Arabidopsis thaliana: one gene and its partner. The protein of the gene in region 1 purifies or fractionates together with the protein of each later gene. This does not show direct contact. Each region holds a gene or a part of one and is shown on either strand. Other genes may lie near its edges.

Evidence for each region.
Region 2: the proteins of JAZ12 (region 1) and CYS1 purify together in Arabidopsis thaliana (affinity purification with mass spectrometry, with the first as the bait; one study listed by BioGRID). This does not show direct contact.

The regions. Positions count from the first base shown.
Region 1 is NC_003076.8:7,087,111-7,094,671, reverse strand, and holds JAZ12 (jasmonate-zim-domain protein 12), read right to left. Parts: upstream 3,969-7,561; 5' UTR 3,790-3,968; coding exon 3,665-3,789; intron 3,275-3,664; coding exon 3,172-3,274; intron 3,098-3,171; coding exon 2,917-3,097; intron 2,826-2,916; coding exon 2,768-2,825; intron 2,758-2,767; exon of another isoform or gene 2,568-2,757; coding exon 2,471-2,567; 3' UTR 2,133-2,470; downstream 1-2,132. Other genes in the region: AIP2 (RING/U-box superfamily protein), read left to right, coding at 362-529, 802-1,006, 1,095-1,291, 1,566-1,778, 1,860-2,009; AT5G20890 (TCP-1/cpn60 chaperonin family protein), read left to right, coding at 4,766-4,771, 4,856-4,912, 5,009-5,074, 5,164-5,275, 5,377-5,505, 5,604-5,675, 5,847-5,962, 6,188-6,264 and 3 more. UniProt on the Arabidopsis thaliana protein: Repressor of jasmonate responses.
Region 2 is NC_003076.8:3,920,272-3,927,721, forward strand, and holds CYS1 (cystatin-1), read right to left. Parts: upstream 3,788-7,450; 5' UTR 3,666-3,787; coding exon 3,546-3,665; intron 3,210-3,545; coding exon 3,024-3,209; 3' UTR 2,999-3,023; intron 2,904-2,998; 3' UTR 2,320-2,903; downstream 1-2,319. Other genes in the region: PDE149 (integral membrane TerC family protein), read left to right, coding at 51-127, 218-305, 386-466, 561-617, 710-791, 884-933, 1,079-1,135, 1,221-1,299 and 3 more; AT5G12150 (Rho GTPase activation protein (RhoGAP) with PH domain-containing protein), read right to left, coding at 4,122-4,307, 4,382-4,498, 4,595-4,661, 4,776-4,945, 5,038-5,148, 5,262-5,345, 5,421-5,481, 5,723-5,772 and 3 more.

The sequences.
Region 1 (7,561 bases):
AAGTCCAATATACACTATGTTTATCTACAGTTACAATCATACTACAAAAAACAAATAATGTATACGGTTTGGTCTAATATAGCCGCATACGATTTAGTATTTACCAACAAAAAATTGGTCTCAAACCAAACCGAACAATTGGTAATTAACAATTGTTCTTTTGGTCTTGAACCGAACCAAACCGAACTGAACTATATTAACCGACCGACTTCGTCCTTTCCTCCTGATCAAGAAAACTCGTCTCCTACAAAAATCCCAGAAGACAAGAGATTGGTTCTTCTTTTGCATCATTCTTACAAAATCCCCAAAATCATTCGAAACCCCTGAGTATTCTCCTTAACTCTAAGAAATAAATTTCTGAATGGATGCATCGTCTTCACCGTCTCCTTCCGAGGAAAGCTTGAAGCTTGAGCTTGATGATCTTCAGAAACAGCTGAACAAAAAGCTGAGATTCGAAGCATCCGTTTGTTCTATTCATAATCTTCTCCGTGATCACTACTCTTCTTCCTCTCCTTCTCTCCGCAAACAGGTTGGTTTTTATTCTTAGATTTTCGGATCAATAGATTCAAAATTATTCGGAATTGTTAGGGTTTATGCCTGCCTTGACGTTTACTCATTGCTTATGTCTGATGATGGGTTTAACTTTTGAGGATTGAATCAGGAATCAAATATCTTTCTTTTATTGTTTTTCTATTTCAATTGTGGAGAAAGTTCATGTTCATGTCAAAAATTTCATTTAATCCGATCTGTTTTTGTTTAGTTACCCTCTGTGACATAGTATTGATTTGATTGCCATTGCAGTTCTATATAGTTGTATCTCGTGTCGCTACGGTTCTTAAGACAAGATATACAGCTACTGGATTTTGGGTTGCTGGACTGAGTCTTTTCGAAGAGGCTGAGCGACTTGTCTCTGATGCTTCTGAGAAGAAACATTTGAAATCTTGCGTTGCTCAAGCTAAGGAGCAGTTAAGCGAAGTAGATAATCAGCCAACAGAGAGCTCACAAGGTTTGTGAAACATTTAGTTTGGCTTTTGATGGTTTTAAGTGAAATTTATCTGGAGATGATTTTTATTTCTCTTGTGAATTTTTTGCAGGTTATCTTTTTGAGGGACATCTTACGGTTGATCGTGAGCCGCCACAGCCTCAGTGGCTAGTACAGCAGAATCTCATGTCTGCTTTCGCTTCTATCGTTGGTGGTGAATCCTCTAATGGTCCTACTGAAAACACTATTGGGGAAACTGCTAACTTGATGCAAGAACTTATCAATGGTCTTGACATGATCATTCCAGATGTAATGCCTTCTCTTTTCTTCCTTACTAGTTTTAGATTATGTACTATCACACATAGCTGATATCACAAGTTTCTTCACCTAAAGATAGAGATGAAAGCAATTCTTAATCATCCGCATTCTACTCATATGTTGTTTTTTGCATATTGAGTTTCTCCACTTGGTTGTCTCACTCATCTGTATCAAGAGTGTTTAACCTCAACCTCTAATATTGTATTGGTAGCGTCTTTTTCTTAGCTTCATGATTGAAAAGTGATATATGATGTGTTCTATGCAGATACTAGATGATGGTGGACCACCAAGAGCTCCACCGGCAAGTAAAGAAGTTGTAGAGAAACTCCCAGTCATTATTTTCACCGAGGAATTGCTTAAAAAGTTTGGAGCAGAGGCAGAATGTTGCATCTGCAAGGAGAATCTAGTTATTGGCGACAAGATGCAGGAATTGCCATGCAAGCACACATTTCACCCTCCTTGCCTAAAGCCTTGGCTGGTATAAAAAAAAAAATCCCATTCTTTCAAGCTTACTAGTAAGTAAGAACATAAAGCTTATGCTCATATTGTTTTATGGCAGGACGAGCATAACTCTTGCCCTATATGCCGCCATGAATTACCAACAGACGATCAGAAATACGAAAACTGGAAAGAGAGAGAGAAAGAGGCCGAAGAAGAGAGGAAGGGCGCAGAGAATGCTGTCCGCGGAGGTGAATATATGTACGTTTAAATTTCAATCAGTTATGGCACACTCCCATTGTCTTTCCTTGAAACATCTCCGAATTGTTGTTCATCATTCACAATTATAAATCCCATTTTACATATAGATTCAATGTCTTTTGTATGAAAGCTTATAATAACAACACAGACTTCTTTACTTTACACACAATTGTATCTTGAAGAGATGACAAGTTCAATAACATAACATCAAAGAGTCATTAGTTAGATAGACTCTAGGACAGTGTTACTAACTACAATAGTTTCTTCAGTAGAATTGTAAAATGGCAAACATATCTGACCACTCCCAGACATGGAAACAATCTTCGGTTTGTCTAGCAAACCTATACAGACACTATCATACAACACATTACACACAGCAGCGTACATGATAGATTATCATATTAATTACTATATTGACAAAACGTTTTACTTAGTTTGCTTATAAGCTTAATGTGGAGGTTTGATCTTCTGCTAAGCAGTTGGAAATTCCTCCTTGATAGAGACATTGCCTGTTGGGACATCTGTCTTTTTGAAGTCTGAAGTAGGGTAAGGGTTTTTGTTGACCAATCTGCAGATAAAAAAAAGTGAATGTTATTGTTAGATGCAATATCAAGGTTAAACATTATGATCAATCTGTCTTTACAAGTCTCTCACAGGTACATTAACAAGCTCTGTATTAGTAATCAATCAAAAACTGAATAAAATAGATCAGATTTGAATTTCCATTGAAATGGAGAAGGATGAAGTGTAATTTTAAAGGCTGCATACCTGTCCCGTCTTTTCTCGAGGAATCGTTGAAGCGAATGCCTCCTTGCAATAGGTAGATCTGTTACGGCAAACATAATTGTAAGAAACTAATGAGAGTATCCATTTTCAAGGTTTGAAGATTACTATAACCAGTTGAATCGAATACTTACCAGCCGTGGATCTGCAAAACGAGATTGGCTGAATAGGAAATGGCTGTGCAGCTGGTGATGCCACATTAGATGTGCTTGAGAAAGAAGGAGCTCTGTTCAGTGCTGGCGATGAGACAGGACTGATGCTTGTAGAATTCTTTGTCTCCATTGCTTTAGCAGCAATACGAAGGATTTCTTGAACCTATAGGCATAGATCACAGTGAGAACAGAAATTCTGAAGTTTTTCTGACAACAACAAAGCTCTAATGGACCAACCTTTTCTGATGGAAGTCCATCAAACACAGTAACACTTCCACCAAAGAAAATAGTAAGTTGATTTGGAGGAACCGTTGGCTCAGCGGTTTGAATCTCCGTGGACCTTCAATAGCAGAAGATCTATTAAACTTGTGACCGACACTATAAAGATGGACTTATTGATGCAACATTAAGAAAACTCTCCACATATGAATCCAGTCTCTCCAATTTCACATGTTAACGGTGAAGTTCTATTAATCAAATTCACATGAAAACTTATGTATGCATTAAAGGACTTTGAAAAACACAAGTTTGTTAAGAATCCAATTGTTCCAGCCAAAAAACAAATTGGTTCCATTGAGAAATATGACTTTCCCTAAATAGAAACTAAAGTAACCAGATCGAAATGCTGATCTTCCTTATCAGAAACAAGATACAATTTTAAGTACTAAACTCAAAGCAAAGAGAGAAACAGATAAAAACATGTGAAATCAACAGTAAACACAGCTCATACCTAACTTCGTTAATCGATTTCTCAACAGATCCGGTACCGCCGATCTCAGCCGCGCCGCCGTCACCGTCGGCAACACCACATCCACCTTCAACGGAAGCGCGTGGCTCATCTTTCACCTTAGTCATGGCTTGTCTCTCAAAATTTGTAGATCTGTCTTTTTCCGATGAGAATTTTGATACTTCTCTCCCTTAGAGTACTTTTGTTTCGCTTCGTCTCTACGTCGTTCAGACCGGGAACCTCCGAGATTTATCCTTCTCAGAAGCTCCTGTAATTTGACACCTGGCGATAGATATTGATTTTTATTGTTTGACTTTTGGTGCTACGACAGTAAAAGACAACAAGAGGGTAATTAGAAACGTGCTCGAATATGATACGGTGTCGTTGGCCTTCTATGTGGGACATGCTTTCTCATTTCGGTTATCCGGAACTCCAAACGTGTATAATTTATAAGTGGCTGAGACGTTAAACTAATTGAGTTTGCTGGACCTTGATTCATTGGGCTCTTAAAGTACTGTTGGGCTTAGTCGTCTTAAAATGACTTCTAAAATGGACCTTGACTGCTTACATTTATAATGTTTCTCTTTCTATTTTATAAGCCTCTTTACATTTATAGTTTTTTTTAGTAACAATATTCGCATACAAATCACGAATTAATTTATTTCTGTTTTTGTATTCGACCGCTAAATCATCACCAAATTCAAATTTGTATATGGAACATTTTTTTTTTTCCTCTATATAATCAAACAAAATGCAAAATTGTCGAAACTATAAAATTTACTTCTTAATGTAACTTATAACTTTTTGGTTAAGGGTTAATCTAAACTTTTTAGTTTTTACTGAAGGGCGCATAAGAAATCTGGGAAATACGAGGGTAGTTTGGTCTTTACGAGTTTCATTTAGGGTTCCGAAAGATCTGGGTTTTGGCTCTCTCCTCTCATTTTCTACTCTTCTTCAAAAGCACACTCAATATTTCGAGATCCTCTCGGCTTGTTCGTTCTTCGTGAACGATCCCATCTATTGTTTCTCGCTAGTCTCAGATTCGACTAACTTGGATATCTCCGATACTGAAGAAGCCTCCTTCTTCTTTTTCCGCTCTTCCCGATGCCGGTAATGTTCCTCCGTCGTCTCTTTCAATCCTTTTGCTTTTCCCCAGTGCTCTCCGTTAACTGAACTTAGCTATTTCGTATTTAGATCGATAAGATCTTCAAAGATGATGCTAGTGAAGAGAAGGGAGAACGTGCGAGGATGGTGAGTCTTTTGAATCGATTAGGATTTAGGGTTTTTCAGATTCACTCTTCTACTGTTTAAATCTGATTTTCTTTTCTTTTGTTGTTGCTCTTTTAGGCATCATTTGTTGGTGCAATGGCTATCAGTGATCTGGTTAAGTCTACTTTAGGGCCAAAGGGCATGGTAATTTCCGATCTCTGAATATTTAGAAAGCTACAAACTTTCAATTTGGTTCTATTGATTATTGTTGAATCCTTTTTATTATTGTTTAGGATAAAATCTTGCAATCTACTGGTAGAGGTCATGCGGTCACTGTTACTAACGATGGTGCTACTATTCTCAAGTCACTTCACATAGACAACCCTGCAGCTAAAGTTCTTGTTGGTATGTAATTTCCCTGCGACATTCTGGCATGAAGTTTTCACATTCGTTTTTTCTTAGTTGGGTTTTCTCTCACAGTTCGTTGTATCTGGTTTGTTCTTCAGACATCTCGAAAGTTCAAGATGATGAGGTTGGTGATGGAACTACCTCTGTTGTTGTCTTGGCCGGCGAGCTTCTGAGGGAAGCAGAAAAGCTTGTGGCTTCTAAGATTCACCCTATGACCATCATAGCAGGTACACTTTTGGAGCTTTAAGTGTTAAGATGTCAACTTTGTATCAGCTTCTCTCACTATGGCAATGATTTCTAATTTTTTCGTTTTCTGGTTTCTTAGGTTACAGAATGGCTTCGGAATGTGCTCGTAATGCTTTACTGAAAAGAGTCATTGATAACAAGGACAATGCAGGTAATCATTATAGAGATGGTTAAACCTTGTTATGCTGACATATTTAAGTATAGCATTTTCTTGTTTGTGTGATTACTTCGACTGTTGGGTTCAAGCGGTGATTTCCTTTCAGTTGAATACAGAACGGAAATCACACTGTTATTTTACAGCATTGTATTTTTGTCAATGCAGAGAAGTTTAGGTCAGACTTGTTGAAGATTGCGATGACTACTTTATGTTCCAAAATTCTCTCACAGGACAAGGAACATTTTGCAGAAATGGCCGTGGATGCTGTTTTCAGGCTAAAGGTTCCATTTCTTCCTCCTTTTGAAACTGATTCAGCAATGTCATGTGTTCCTTCCTTCTTTTTCTCTTGATTTATGTGTTATCTCATGAAAGAAGATCTTCCTTTGACGAAATGTCATGAAATTAGGCTATTATCATTTCACCATTAGTCTTTCCCATAGTTGCATCGTTTCGTTTTGGATTGTTATATGATTTTTTTCTGACATTCTGCTTTTATCGTTCAACAGGGAAGCACAAACTTGGAAGCTATTCAGATCATCAAAAAACCTGGAGGGTCTCTGAAGGATTCGTTTTTGGATGAAGGGTAAGACAACACTTTGTGCCTTTGGCGTCAGTTCAAATTCAGTTTTCTGAGCTATTGATCTTTCTTTAGTATTCATCTGTTCATGGTAACTCTGTCGTGTTTCTTTTCTTCTTCATAGCTTACGCACCTTAATTTCATTTATAGTGTTATTTTGGAATGTTGATAGTCATCATGTCATCTTGTTGTGTTGTGTTTCTTCTTCTATCGAGTAATATGGTCTCATGTCACCTCAACTTAAAATCTATGCCTGTAGGTTTATTCTTGACAAGAAAATAGGAATTGGGCAGCCTAAGCGCATAGAGAATGCAAATATCTTAGTAGCTAATACTGCTATGGATACCGATAAAGTGAAGATTTACGGTGCACGTGTCCGTGTGGATTCCATGACCAAGGTTGCTGAGATTGAAGGGGCTGAGAAGGAAAAAATGAAAGACAAGGTGAAGAAGATCATAGGCCACGGAATCAACTGCTTTGTTAACAGGCAGTTGATCTACAATTTCCCTGAGGAACTCTTTGCTGATGCTGGTATACTTGCTATTGAGCATGCTGACTTTGAGGGAATAGAGCGTCTTGGTTTGGTTACTGGTGGTGAAATTGCTTCGACCTTTGACAACCCAGAGTCTGTTAAGCTTGGGCATTGCAAGCTTATAGAAGAAATCATGATTGGTGAAGACAAGTTGATTCATTTCTCTGGTTGTGAAATGGGCCAGGCTTGTTCAATTGTCCTAAGAGGGGCCAGGTATCCATTTTCACTCCCATTACTTGAAAGACTTCGTCTAAACTTTATTCTGTTTCTAATTCACTAATCAATTTTTGTATGGGTTCTTTTTTCTTGCAGTCACCATGTCCTAGATGAGGCTGAAAGATCACTCCATGATGCCTTATGTGTACTCTCTCAAACAGTGAATGATACTAGAGTTTTGCTTGGAGGTGGATGGCCAGAGATGGTGATGGCAAAGGAAGTAGATGAGCTTGCAAGGAAAACTGCTGGCAAAAAATCTCATGCCATTGAAGCTTTCTCACGTGCTCTAGTTGCTATACCGACAACAATCGCTGACAACGCTGGTTTAGACAGTGCCGAATTGGTTGCTCAGCTTCGTGCAGAGCACCACACTGAAGGGTGTAACGCTGGGATCGACGTCATCACTGGAGCTGTAAGTAAACTTTATAAACATTAGGATTCGCCATTGAATGTGCAAGGCTAGACTTGAATTGTGATGATGATGATTGATTGTTTACAGGTAGGAGATATGGAAGAGAGAGGAATCTATGAAGCATTCAAAGTGAAGCAAGCGGT
Region 2 (7,450 bases), 3.2 Mb from region 1:
ATGCGTTTTTGATCTATGTGCGAGACCTGATTTCATAGTTATCTCAATAGGTTGGCACTGCGGTGGCATTTGGAATTGGAATAGGTTTGAAGGAAGGTGTTGGCAAGGCTTCAGAGTTTTTCGCAGGGTGTGTAGAGCTTACTATATATGATATATTGATTTTCACTTAACTCTTCAAGGAGATATTTCCTATCTTAACTGTTTTCAACTCTTGCAGCTACATATTGGAGCAAAGCTTGTCAGTGGACAACTTGTTTGTTTTTGTTCTTGTTTTCAAGTATTTCAAAGTGCCACTCATGTATCAGGTACCAAAACTATCTTCACAGAGCCACAGAGATTTAGCTCTTGACTACAGAGTATTCTGATTCTGTGTCCCTTTCTATAGAATAAGGTACTTACCTACGGTATAGCTGGTGCAATTGTTTTCCGTTTCACGCTCATTTTACTAGGAACAGCTACTCTTCAGGTGATTTCTATGTTTACATCAAAATATTTGTTAGTGATTATTTGTTTCATTTTTCTGCCTCATTTACTTTTGAATTCTCTCTACTTTCTTTCAGAAATTTGAAGCAGTCAACCTACTGCTTGCTGCTGTACTCTTATATTCGTCATTCAAGGTGCATACTACCTCATCTTAGCATTTATACCTATAATCACACACAATTATTGATATGGTATTAGTTTTTCTGTCCTCAATGTGTTAATACAGTTATTTGCAAGTGAAGAAGATGATACAGATCTATCGGACAACTTCATTGTAAAGACATGCCAGAGATTTATTCCTGTCACATGTAATATACCCGGTCTTTTTCTCCTTTTTACTGTTTGGTATGCTTCCATAGCTGATTTATTCCTCTTTTCTTTTGTTTATAACTGCTTGCAGCAAGTTACGATGGAAATCGATTTTTCACAAAGCATGATGGCATTTTGAAAGTAAGTATATGACAAAATTCCTCCTATATATTCAAGGTTTATGTATAAGTCACTGTTAAGTTTTATTGCATGTGGACTCCATGATCAAAACATTCATGATAGTACCTTTGATTACTTCTAATTATTTCAACAATATTTTGGGCAGGCCACACCATTGCTACTTACAGTAGCAGTGATCGAGCTCAGTGACATAGCATTTGCGGTAACTTCCGTCACCACTTTGTGAATCTGTTTTTGTCTCTTTAGAAATGAAGCAAATCACTGATACTGGTTGCCCATTTTCTTAGGTTGACTCAATACCAGCTGTTTTTGGCGTCACAAGGGATCCTTTTATTGTCTTGACTTCTAATCTCTTTGCAATCCTAGGTATTTTTTCCCTAAACACAATTTTTGTTAACTTCTTGCCTGTCTCTTTTGAATACTCTTGGAACTTTGAATTGAAGAGTTTATTTATTTCATCTGGTGTTTGAATTTGCCGCAGGACTAAGGTCTCTCTATACACTGATTTCTGAAGGAATGGACGAGCTGGAATACTTGCAGGTACCTTTACCACTTCTTTAAATCTTCATTCATATTCTGTTTCATTACTTCATACTCGAGCTAAGCATCAGATACATACTTAAGAGTGCCAGTAATGCTCATTATGTACCCATGGACTAGTATGATTTGTATCTAATCTTGTCTTTGCCTTTCCCAGCCATCAATAGCAGTTGTTCTTGGCTTCATAGGAGTCAAGATGATCCTTGATTTCTTTGGTATAGATATTCTCTCTTCATCGGCAATTTCTGCTTGAACTAAACCATATATCTACAAGAAAAACTAAGCTCTCTCAACATTTCTTCCTCTTTCTAGGCTTCCACATATCAACAGAGGCATCACTTGGTGTCGTTGCACTTTCTCTCAGTACCGGAGTACTGTTGAGCCTAACAAACAAATCCAGCGACAGCTAACTAAGAACTGAGAGCTGACTACTGAGAAACAGAATCCAGATGTATCCAACCACACAGTTCATAAGAATAATATCGCATTGTTCATCAAAGCATTTCGCTGATGTGTTACTGTAGATAAAACACACAGAAAGGGCATTCTTTCCAAGACTCGTATTCTACTTTTTGTTTTGTCGTTAAAAAAGCAGCAAAGAACAAGACACTTTAAATCTATTTGTCTGGAAGACATGTGGTTGAGCCCCATGATTGCTTTGAGACGAGTAGAACTGTCTTTGATCGTCAAGTCATCCCATGTGCCGCTTGGTGCTCATCTTATAAGATTATTCCTTTGGACTATTAGTCTTCCCATTTGTCTAAAAGCACAACTCTTCTTTAGGTATTACAAGATCAAACAAATCAGACTTTGAATACTCAGACACTCTCTAAAGTTGGTGTTTGGCTTATCAAATTATGGTGGTACTCATGGTGGAAGGGTGCGGAAGACAACACTCTCAGCCTAAATATTGAGTAAAAAGAGACCAGTTGGATGCAGGAAGCCTACTAGCCTAGCAACATGAACCAAGCATGAGTAGAGTTTGCCGCAGAAAGACAGGATGATGGAGATGACCAGATCAACTGACTGTAAACTTTCAACGACACAGACCGATATCATTTCAAAACCCGACAATGATCCAAATTTACCTAAGTTTACATCTTGAATCAATTTTCTGATACTATGAGATATACCTGAACTACCAAGGTGAACATCTGATGTTTTCAAGATGATTTTGAAATGGGATAGAGATACTCATCACCTTTAGCTTTTACTCATGGTTTGTATCTTCATCATGAAGTTTTGTAAAATCAAAGCAGATAGATAAAAAGTGAGAGTTTGCTAATAGCAATACACAAACGAGAGTCAAGAGATACACACAATACCAGTTCAAACACATGGGACTGGATTTCACTTATTAAAGAAGTTAACTTGGTTAAACCAGAACTCTTATCACGTGGTCTGAGAGCACACAAGGACCTCACTCAAGCCTGTAAAGTAAAGGAAACCAAAGACACAAGACATCTATTAGCAAACGCAAATTATGTGTCAACCCGAGTATCATACAAGAATGTGATGTGTTTACCGCAGAGAAAGCTCAGGGCATCGGATTAAACATCGTGAAGGTGGTTGAAACTCTCCAACTGCTTGAGATTCTCCCAAGCTTTCTCCAAAACCTTGGCCTCATAGACCTTATTGGTCTCACCATCAGCCACCTCCACAGTTAGATGGTGCATTGTTCCTGCCACAACCTGTGTTTTCGCACCAAGGAGCCTCTTGTACTCCAGAGTCAAGTTCTGTATACATAAGAGAGATCATTGCTTAAACAAGAAAGAAAAAAACTCATCGCTTATTATAATCTTTATTTAAACAACACAAGAGGATATATGTTTCTCAGGTAGTAATTGTTCTTATAAACATTCTGGAAACAAAATCTTCAAATCAACACTAGTACAGAAGCAAATGACACAATCCCTAAATTCTCAAACAAAAAATAACAATTCCTGATGAGAATGACCTATATTTCGATAGATCGAACGAGAAAAATCAGCGATTTGCTAAGAGATAAACTTCGATCATCAACCAAACAGATTTTAGGATAATGAAGGCAGGAAAAGATGGGAGAATGGTACCTCGTTCTTGTTATGCTCATCGACAGCGAAACGAGCGAGACTCTCGACTTGAAGATCATTAGCATTTGCATCAATATCGCGAACTCCTCCGACGATTGTTCCTGCTTGTTGATCCGCCATTTTCGTCTCTTTACTTTTCTGATTTTTATCTCAAATGTTTTTGATTCGTATCTAAAGTCTAAAACCCAAAGTGTTATTGTTATATATAGAGATTAAAGCGCGTTTTTTTCTTTCCCTTCAAGAATAATTCTTCCGGAATAATAAAAGGTTATGACTCATTGTAGCACTAACTAGAGAATCTTTTTTTACTTCTTCTTTTCAATAAACTGAATTTATATGTCGGCCAACCATTTAAAATGTAGAAACAAAAACAGAGGAAATACACACAACTTTTTACAAACCTCACTCACATAAATCACACTAACAACGAAGCAAGAGCAAACAATTTCTCATCAATTTCGTGGTAAATATATAGTTGGTTTAACCTTGAACCGGTTTTACAAGCATGAAGAGTCTGCACAGACGAGACTTTCTTTACATTTTTCTATTTTTTTGGACAAGAGCTTCTCAAAGAGCCTAATTCCATGGTGGAGAAGAGGATCGGTGCAGAGAAGAAGAAGAGGAACCATAGTTGAGGTCAAGATTCTGAATCTGTTCCATAAGTTGTGACCGTCGTTCCTTGAAGAAATCCAGACGAGTGGTTAGCTCCATGAGAGCTGCAGATGTTGCAGGAGGATGATGATGTCTTCCGTAGTCCATTACCTACAAGACCGTTTACTCACACTTTTTACACATTTGAATCTCGTGAGATTGGTTTAAACAAGACTATCACTAACCGGAGAATACTCTTCCATTGGGATGCCTAAGGATGCTGCATTCAAGCTTGGTGAGCCTGGTACTTGTCTGTTGTTTCCTCTGCCATTCCTCCAGTCTGCTCTTAGGCTAGTTTCATCCTAGATTATTCGATAGCAGAGAATGTTACTGACAGATAATAGAATCATTTTTTATAAGATAATAGAGATTCCTCGGTTACATAATAAGATTTGTACCGTTCTCTGATTTCTTTCGTGATTAACGAAAGCAAGAATGGAATCAAAGTCCTGTTGAAAAGACTTCCTGCGAATTTGAAAAAAAATAGATTGTTATTTCTCTTAGCGAGTTTACATTCGAGTAATATCTCGTTTGAACTATTGAATAAGAGCTAGAACCAGGCATCGAGTGTAAACTCACAGTTGAGTATTGTGATTATGGAGAAACTGGTGATGGCTTTGAGCATCTGGGAGTGAACTTAAGTGATGCTGTCGCTGCTGACTTAGCTGATGATGTAATTCGGCGACTTTCTGCTTCAACCTTGCGACATCAGCTTCAGCAAGAGCAATCTCCTCAAGCTCTGCCCTTGTCTTTGCATTATATTGTGATGTTAGAACTAAGGAAAGCAAGAGATAGAACCAAAAAAAAAAAACTGCTTTCTCTAGCTAAAGTGTATACTGACTTTGGAATCCGCAGCTTGTGAGCTAAATTGTCCACAAGAAATGCTTAGACCAACTTCAAGAGCAGATCGTAGGTCTCTCTCAGCTTGCAGTTGCTCTTGTAATCTACCCACCTGACAATTTCATGGCAAGCTTGGTCAGCAAAATGGAAGTTTATTTCCCCTCAAAATTATACCCCAAAAAAAATAGAGGATAGAAACGTAAAATCTCAAGAGAAGGTTTATACATCTTGTTCAAGTGCCAACCGTCGTTCGTGCAAAGCCTGCTTCCTTCTCTCCAAGCTAGCTTGTAGAGCCGCATTTCCTTTAGCCTGTAGTGGTCTAATCAATCAATACAACAACATTATGGTATCAGCACATAATACTTCTAGTGCAAGAACAAGTACCTCCTTAGCGATTCGTTGTCGCAGTTCATCTTTCATGTGCTCGAGCCTCTGTATAAGAAGCCTACAAGTAGCAAACGCATTGCATCAGGATACATCAAGCTCATTTTAGAACAAAGAAAAAATTATTTTCTCAATTCAAAAGCGAAATAGAATGTTGCTTCAGTAAATACCTTTTTGACCTATTTAACCTATTTAACCATACATAATATCTCATATGGGTTTCGCCAATAGAATATATATAAAAAGGTTTCATAGGAGTGTTAAAGAACCACAATGTATACATTCAGGATGAGTTATCTTACTCGTCATTTCCTGAGGAATCAAATGATCCTTTAGCAGGTGTTTTCTTGCCCTGCACACAGTAAACAAAGAAAAGAATTGAGATATCACCTTAAACTCAATTTCCCTACAACTATTTACTTCATCATACATGCAACTAACTTGTACTAAGATAATTTATTCCAAATAGATGGGACTTCCAGTAACATCTAATTTTCCTAAGACGCTGATGGTTAGTTTTCTTATAGGATTATGCAAGTGGAAACAGCTCATCTAGCCTATAGCACCAATAAGCATGGCATTAAGAAAACTGAAGGGAAATTCATATCATGACCTGACAACGATAGAGATCAGGAGAACTAATTTCGTCTAGTGGTGATCAAAGAGTTACAAGGACAGACAAAAATTACAAAAAAAAATCCTATAAATACTTAATAAATGCATAGCAAGTCAGCTCCAGAGACTAGGACAACAGAATTCGACTTTTCATGCCAGACAATGGAAAACTTACGTTGCCTCTTCCCCAGGACGAAGAACGCTTCGAATTTACTGTTGATGAGCCAGTAGTTTTACTTGCAGGTTTCTCAGCTGATGTTGTGTATCTAAGGGCCGTGAGAGGAGTACTGGGAGTAACTGAGGGTATAGCCTCTCTCCCTGATTGATAACAGTTTTCAGTAGGTGAAACGCTAGAAACTTCTATATCTTTAATAGGTTCTTCAATATGTTTTTTCACTCTAGCGGAAAAGTCTGTACTCTCGACTGAACAATGGATATCTCTAGGAGACTCAGCATCTGAATCTTCAACACCAAAACCCTGAAAGAAAAAGCATATTAAAAAAAAAGAATAAATTAGGATAAATTTTTCTGGCAGTTTCGCAATGGAAACCTAAATTTCAAACACCAAACATAACTAAAGACCACATTAGGCGTAACGAAAGATAGCAAGACAGTAGCAGATGGTTGACGGAATGCATACAAATGGAAACGACTTCAAAGTTCAAACTTATCCCCTATTTTAGAATTCTGAATGTAGGTGTACTATGACCAAGATTTATGGGGCAGTGGAGTAAGATGGCAAAGAACAAACCTTGTAGTCATACAGATCACTGCCAGCATAATCACTGCTCTCGCTTGGTTTTCTGCTTAGCAGAACATCATTATCATCATCTGTTTCCCCTTCTTCTATATCCAGAGTATGCAAGTCAGGATGTTTAACCACTATTTCCTCTTCATCACTTGAGTTCTCAGGCCCACTGTCGCCAATATGAGAATCAGTAGAAGTGGAGCATCTCCCAAGACCTTCATCCTGCAAACAAATAGGTGAGCAAATAGCATTGTGGCACCAGATATAAATTAACGGGGCAAATGGAATCTTACATTGATCATATTCCCATAGTCTTCCAAAAGGGCTGTGACAATGGCTTGAGCATTATTGGCAGCATTGGCGGCAGCAAGAAGCTGGGCAGAGTTATCTCCTAGAGTGTCAAAACCTTCTAGATCACATTCTCCAGCCAATAGAGGACGTAAGAGCAATGGGGACATGCATGCAGCAACAGCAGATGAAGTCATGCGATTCTCACTGGAATGAGAGGTGATAGTATGCATCATCTTTAGCATCCTGCAGAATACAACCCACGCTAAGAATAAAGCTGTTTTAAGTAACCTAAATAATAGACTTCCAAGCAGCTTTCTGTGAAAGCACCACATATTTCCCACATCATATGCAACTGAGTATTAAGTTTTCCTCTTAT